Linked DNA regions of Tribolium castaneum. The protein of the gene in region 2 binds, or shares a complex with, the protein of the main gene of each other region. Links are inferred from orthologs where the notes say so. Each region holds a gene or a part of one and is shown on either strand. Other genes may lie near its edges.

What was found.
Region 1: the proteins of Mccc1 (region 2) and Mccc2 are in contact, whole or in part, in a cryo-EM structure (PDB 8JXM), measured with the Homo sapiens proteins. The link is inferred for Tribolium castaneum from reciprocal best matches to the Homo sapiens genes MCCC1 and MCCC2. Residues at the interface, in NP_064551.3 of Homo sapiens: Glu519, Phe526, His531, Asp532, Phe534, Ser535, Pro536, Phe537, Ser538, Ser539, Ser540, Ser541, Gly542, Arg543, Arg544, Leu545, Asn546, Ile547, Tyr549, Thr550, Arg551, Tyr568, Tyr636, Leu637, Ser641, Glu644; in NP_071415.1 of Homo sapiens: Leu56, His57, Val60, Glu61, Lys64, Asp88, Ile91, Pro93, Gly94, Ser95, Pro96, Phe97, Leu98, Glu99, Gln102, Ile123, Gly124, Arg125, Gly128, Glu130, Arg234, Trp276, Leu278, His281, His282, His285, Lys298, Lys299, Leu300, Ile304.

The regions. Positions count from the first base shown.
Region 1 is NC_087396.1:10,362,088-10,365,124, reverse strand, and holds the end of Mccc2 (probable methylcrotonoyl-CoA carboxylase beta chain, mitochondrial), read right to left. Parts: intron 1,091-3,037; coding exon 765-1,090; 3' UTR 752-764; downstream 1-751. Other genes in the region: coiled-coil domain-containing protein 86, read left to right, coding at 285-346, 397-751. UniProt on the Homo sapiens protein: Carboxyltransferase subunit of the 3-methylcrotonyl-CoA carboxylase, an enzyme that catalyzes the conversion of 3-methylcrotonyl-CoA to 3-methylglutaconyl-CoA, a critical step for leucine and isovaleric acid catabolism.
Region 2 is NC_087398.1:7,347,162-7,351,452, reverse strand, and holds the start of Mccc1 (methylcrotonoyl-CoA carboxylase subunit alpha, mitochondrial), read right to left. Parts: upstream 2,914-4,291; 5' UTR 2,784-2,913; coding exon 2,755-2,783; intron 2,602-2,754; coding exon 2,418-2,601; intron 1,299-2,417; coding exon 1,081-1,298; intron 1,036-1,080; coding exon 654-1,035; intron 609-653; coding exon 425-608; intron 144-424; coding exon 1-143. Other genes in the region: TM9SF2 (transmembrane 9 superfamily member 2), read right to left, coding at 3,232-3,735, 3,782-4,240, 4,290-4,291.

The DNA.
Region 1 (3,037 bases), on a different chromosome or scaffold from region 2:
TAAATAAAGAAAAACATTACAAACTGTAATTAATTTAATTATTAAAGACTGAGCAGGTGTTAGTTTTAAAACAGACCCATCACCAAGATTAATAAATAAAAATTGTGATAAAATTGATAAAAATAATCCTACCAGTGTCACAAACTTGAGCAACTTGTCATAAGCGTCGCGCTAATGTGTTAGAAAAAGAAAGTTAAGTTGATTTTGTTGGCATCCATGATTATTTACAATGTTTTAACCTCAAAAATAATCTGAATTTGTTGACGTTTAAACACGTGTGAAAAATGACAAAAATTAATACTAAAGCAAGTAGGGTACAAAAAACTAGTGAATCTACAAAAAAGAAGTAAGTTTGAAAATATTTTGGTTTGCACTTTACTACATGTAGTCCTAAAGGTCAAAAGAGCCTGACGTAATTCGAGGCAAACCCAAGTCGGGGCGTTTTTGGAAGAACGAGAAAAAGAAATTTTCATCTATAATCAAAACTAGAGGAATCCGCAGTTCATTTGAAAAGAAACAAGTCTTGAGACAAGAACTTAAAAGGATAAAAGACGCAAGTCGCGCGATCAAAGCTGCAAAAGACGAAGAGAAAGAACAGAAGAAGCAACGCCGGCGAGAAAACCTGAAACGCCAAGAAGAAAACCGCAAAAAGTCCGAAATAGTCCAAGTCATAACAAACACGAGTAAGATTAAGAAAATGAAGAAGAAACAATTGAGGTATATTGAAAAACGAGACACTGTTAAAATGTGATTTAATTAAATGTCTACATGCGGAAAATTCCAAATTCGGTTTTTTCTGGTTGGGCGTTTAGCGCCGCTGCCAGGCTTAAACCTAGCACCTTCCTTGTGTCTTTGGGGTCAATTACTCCGTCGTCCCATAGCCTAGCGCTGCTAAAATACGGCGATCCTTCCCGTTCGAACTGCTCGATAATGGGGGCCTCAAAATCGTCCTTCTCCTTTTGCGTCCAGTTTTTGCCTTTACTTTGCACTTGAGATAGAACTCCAGCCGCTTGACGGCCCCCCATTACCGAGATGCGCGCGTTTGGCCACATGTACAAAAAGCGGGGCGAATAGGAGCGCCCACACATGCCTAAAAAATAAATTCAAATTGAAAAATTTTGCAATTTAATGTAGTCCACGAAGAATTAAATACTAGGAGGCACCAAGAGGACACATAAAATGTCCAGTCTTATTTCCGTTAGCGTCGCCAGATGTAGCAGTTGTTCCATCAAAATTTTAAGAGTAATGAAATAAAAAATGACTACTTAAAATGCGGTCAGCACAAAGCAAACAAAAAATTTCAGAGAGATTAGTATTGAATTCTTAAGGACATGTAAAAATTAACGAAAACGATACAGTTACTTAAAATTGTCAAGATGTTATTGGCCTTACTAATGTGTCTTTGATAAGACACATTCACACAGTTTTTATTTTGATAATGAATGAGATCGCAGAAATTTTTTTGTACTACGATTCTTAATTAACTGTTTATAGTTAAATAACTACATATCTTCACTAAGCCTTAAACACTGTTATGATTTATCACAATCTAAAATTTTGATTTAGTTTACCAAGTAATCGATTTTTTAAACGCAAACCAAGAGGCATAACTTTACCAACAAAATAAATTATTTACTAGTATTCTAAACTAGATAAAACTGTCAAAAAATTAAACTTATTTTATTCTCGTCTTTTATTATGTAAGTGTCTGAATTGTGTTTTAGTGTACAACGAATTTAATATTAACATGTTTTAATCTTAATCTTGAGTAAATCTACTTGTAGCTATAAATATTCTCTTGAACTTTTTGGGGTATTCTTTGCCTAATGGATTTTTTCGGAATAAATCATATTATTATTAGCCGACCTTTTTGAAGCCACTTATTTATAGCTCAACCATGAAATTCACAAATTTTCGGTAGTTCTATAAATCCAAAGATAATTTTTTCAAGCATTTCTGATTGAATTTCAAAAATTGAACAGTGAATTCTATTTTCAAAATAATTCGTGTAATTCTTAATTGTAATTCTCGGACCAAAAAGAATTCCAGTAATTTCATGAATTCCAAAGATAATATTATAAATTCCAAATACTTCTTTGGAATTATTAAATTAAAAAAAAAAACATGTAATTCCATGCAGTAGTTTCGAGTAAATTTAAAGAATTTGTACAACTAATTTCAGAGTTAAGGGACGGTCCCTTAAAATTTGATTTACTGATTAAAAGTTTCTTTTTTGTATTTTTACGTCGAGTAAGCAAGTGTGTAAAATTTCTAGAAATTTGTTTAACGAGAAATGAGCGCCCTATATTTTATCAATCAGTACAAATATGGATAAAGAGGTAAAATGTTTAATAGACAGAATTATAAAGAATTAAATTTCCTTCAAAAAAATCCACTAAAATCATATTTCTATCTTCAATCGTTTAGATTTAAATAATTGTTTTAAAATTTTCTCCCGGCAGTGACAACGAATCTGTTTCTTAAAAGGCTTGAACTTGAACGTCTCACGAATTTTTTCTAAGAAATTTAATTATCGAATTTAATTTTTTATTATTTTTTTGACTGAATTAAAAGAAAAGCACACAATTCGTCCTTGAAACTTTTATAAACTTGAATACGTTGGAAATAACACCATTTTCAACGTATTCAAGTTTGTACAATACATATCTTCGTTGTTGGTGCTTTTTCAAAAAAATGCTCGAACGGGTTGATTTAATTTTTTAATTGCTGACACGATAGTGACATTTATGATGTCATTTTTGTTTTTGAGTAATGACTTTTTTTTAATGACAACAGACATATTTGTCCACTGTTTTAATATTAGCTACATATCTTCCACACATCTTTCTTGTTAAAAAAAAGAATATGAAATTATAAACAAAAGAAGAAATAAAGTAAAATGTTTATTGACAATTACACACAAAAGGATTTTTTTGTTCTTGCCTTATTTTATTATACGTGGCAATTGTTTTTTTTTTATATATTTTTTCAATACTTAATTAGCATGAGTACTTAATAATATGAAACCTAAACACAA
Region 2 (4,291 bases):
AGCCCCTGGCAAAAAGCCCCCACTTGGGTCCTCCGCGTAAATTCGAGACTCAAACGCGTGGCCACTCAGTGTTATTTCCTCCTGAGTTAATGGCAACTTTTCACCTCGAGCGACTTTTATTTGCCATTCCACCAAATCGGTTCCTAAATCAAATACGAAGCCAAGGATAATTCCGAATTTAAACGAATATTTCCCATTTGTTTGAGACAAGCATTGCGCTATTATTTATTGGTAAAAAATTTGCATAATGGTTAACACGAGAGACCGCAAGCGGGAACTGAAAGTTTTCACTGAAACTACCATAAAACCTTATTAAAGAAGCATCTAATTAAAAATGTTTACGATGGAAAATCCAAAACCTTGTGCAAGTTTTTAGGAAGTAAAACTGCGTTTTATTTAACAATGTTTTGTCGAGCGGCGTTACCTGTAATCATCTCCGTTATCGGGTGTTCTACCTGCAATCGCGTATTCATTTCCATAAAATGAAAATTGTGACTTTTCCTGTCTAGAATAAATTCCACCGTCCCGGCCCCCACATACCCAACCGCTTTGGCAGCTCTTACGGCAGCAGCCCCCAGTTCAGCCCTCAATTCTTCGCTTATTCCCGGCTAAAAATTTCAATTTACAATCATAACACAAAATTTAAGAAGTACCGCTGGCGCTTCCTCTATAATTTTCTGATGCCTCCTCTGCACCGAACAATCCCGTTCGAACAAGTGAACAGCATTGCCATGCATATCTGCAAAAACCTGCACTTCCACGTGCCTCGGCTCTTGCACGAATTTCTCCAAAAGCACCACAGAATCGCCGAAAGCTTTCTGCGCCTCACTTTTGGCCGACTCCAAGGCTTCCTCAAATTCAGACTCCGTGAGAGCTATCCTCATTCCTTTGCCGCCACCACCTCTCACGGCTTTTATCATGACGGGAAATCCGATTTTCAGGGCTTCTGCTTTGAGCTTGGCCCTGTCTTGGTCTTCCCCGTGGTAACCCCCGATTATGGGAACCCCGGCTTTCGACATAATTTCCTTCGATTTGCTTTTGAAAAGTTAGTTGTGGGAGAATGGAAAGTGGAGAGTGTACCTTTTGATTCCCATGTCGCGAATCGCCGAAGCCGGAGGGCCCATGAAAATGATTTTGTTTTTTTCGCAATTTTCCGCAAATTCCACATTTTCGGAAAGGAAGCCGTAGCCTGGATGGATCGCCTGACAGCCGGATTTGTGCGCTACTTCTAAAATTTTGTCACCTCGGAGGTAACTTTGCGAGGCTTGGGGAGGGCCGATGTTATAGGCCTCATCTGCCTATTAAATACCCATAATTTGGTAGAATTATTTATTTAACAGAGCATTCGTCTAAACCGCACATTCAGATCCGAACGTATTATTTCGTAATGAAAAACACTGAATTCGAGAAATTTCGCAAAAAATTGGCTAAAATTGGCTCCAACATGTATAACTGTTTCTATTTCTTCGTATTTTTACCGAAAAATAACTTCCTCAGAATAATAGAGAAAAATCGGAGAAAATCGCCAATTAGATTAAGTGGAAAATTCTTTATTTTTATACGAATTTTGCTTATTTACAATGACCAACTTCAACAAATTAAATAATAACAGTAATACAGAATGTAAAATATTAACATAAAACATGAAGAGAAGTTTGTTGGTTGGTTGGCGTTTTTCTCATACCTAAATAAAATAAATAAACAAATCTACTTCCGCATAACACATTATTCTTTTAAATATTACAAAAAAATTACACTAAACTTAAATTTATTTATTGTGAGTTGCGTGACTTTTTTAAGAGACCAAAAGATTTTTACAACCTGAGTATAAGGTTACTGGTCGAGATTTTTCGAAGCAAAAATTCTTAGAAAATCTAGCCTTAAAAAGTATGGAGAAATCACAGGAAAATTTTATTATTTGTTTAATTTAGTAAAACATTTTTTTATTTTATATATTTCTGATAATTCAAAAATTTTCGCAAATTTTTATTCGAGAAAAAAGTCAAAAAATCAGAAATTAGAAAAAATAATGGCTTATGATTAAATTAAGATTAAAATCCTTGTAAAAACTCACAATACTTTTACAATTCTTTTAATGTGCGGTTTAAATAAAATAGTCTAATGTACAAATTAAAAGAGCGTAAAAGTGGAAAAAACATCATTCGATCAAAATTTTCACAATCTCGATAAGGTTTAGAGATTACATAATTACGACCAATAGTTTAAACTGTGAGTCTTCCTTATTTTAGAATAAAAAAAAAGCTAAATACCAATAATCACCATTTAAAAAAATCAAAAATTAGTCTAAACTAACAAAGGAACGATGGAAATAATGAAAATGTCAGTTTTGTTTTAGTGTTTATTGTTGTGTTTTCTTTGAATTTTATTTATATTTTATTTTTATCGGTAAAACCTACCTGTGAAACGTGTAACGAATTCTTATCAGCGTCGCTATAAACCGCGACCGTTTTTACGCCCAACCGGCGGGCAGTCCTCAACACACGACAAGCTATCTCACCTCTATTTGCAATTAATAATTTATCTATCCTTCTCAAAGTACTGTTCCATCTTCTTGTTGTTATTTGAACGCCGAAATTTGTGCTAAAATAGTAAAAAAAGTCTAGTTTTTCCATAAATCCATGGCAAAAACACATATGACATAAGTAGTGAGTAGTAATTGCACATGGAACGTGTTTTAATTGAAGAAAATTTTGTAAAGTTGCCAAGTCATCACTAAAATAGAACAGTACTCACTTTTGTAACAATGAGGCCCACAACGGCATTTTTATCTTGATTTTAATGGCACAGTTTTGTTAACACTATTAACTAAAATGCGATTTTTATCATAATGATGCTGATATCAATGAAGAAATGATTTGGCCTCTGTTGACCTTCAGTCTTGACAATAATAACTTTTTGTGGATAAAAATGTAAATCATATTTGTCTTTAATTACGAAGGGAAGGGAAAATAAAAATGTGCAATTGTGCAATCCTTTATTGTCAAAGGACTTTTTCCATAAAATACTAAATTATACAATTTATTTCTATTACAATATTTTACAGTTGCGTACACAAAATTAATACATCACAAGTTTTAGATGCGAGTTATCCATGTTTATTAAAAATATGTTCGCCCACTCGTGCGCTTCAATAATTTTGAAATTGAAACGAAAATAAATACGTTATTAAAAATATTCTGTTGGTAAAAATCACAATAATTAAAGTACATTTCAGTCAACTTTAACCACACTATAAATTTTCCTAATAAACCAGAAACAGGCGAAAAATCCAATCGACCCAGTTAACAAATTGAACAAAAACACCATAATTAGAGTATAGCCAAAATACAGGAACGCAGACGCCGTATCCTCGATCTGCAATTTCGTAAAGAAGTAATGACAGCAATACAGAAACAAATAAACTGCTGTAAACCCGGACGTCAAATACGACCGCCACCACCAATGGTAATCCTCCGCACACAAGTGGAAGTAACACAGAAGAATCGTTGTCTCTGCACACGTTATTACTAAAATTATAAATACTAGAAACAGAAAACCGAACATGTAGTACATCTGAGACGACCAGATCGAATTCAGAATAAAGAAAAGTTGGATGAAAATGCAACCGAAGGGCAGCACACCCCCCATGACAATTCCGGGAATCGGCTGCGTGTAGATCGACTGTTCGGGGATCAACCTCGGGATTTGATTCGTCCGAACCGGATGCTCGAGTGCCTGAAAACATTTTTTTTAATTGTCCTGACAGCGGTCACAATCTTACCCTTTTCCTGAACCCGAAAAACGCCCCCACGAACGTCAGAGGCACCGACACCAGCAGCCACAGCGCCAGCAGCCCCACCAAAGTGCTGAAAGGCACAGCTGCGGAGCTCCCTTTGCTCCACAACACCAGATTCATTACGAAAAACAGCCCGAAGACAATCCCAGGTGCCAGCATCGAGGTCAACAAAACGTTAGACTTCCATTTCTCGCCGCCGAAACTCTTGTAAATCCTCGCGGAAACGTACCCAGCTGGCGACCCCAACAGGACATACAACACCATAGCGCAAGTCATCAAAGCCCCCCGATTTGCCGGGCTCAAAAACCCGAGACAGGCGAAAGCTAAAGTCACCAAAGTCATGAAGAAAACTTGAACGCCGGAGCCCAGGAGCACCGAAAGGAACATTCCCTTGCGCGGGGGGCGGAAGACGTCGCCGTGGACCAGCTTCCAGCCGAACTCTTCCTGTAAAAATGATTGTAATGCGAGTTTGTTAAAAGGGTTTGAAGCGGACCT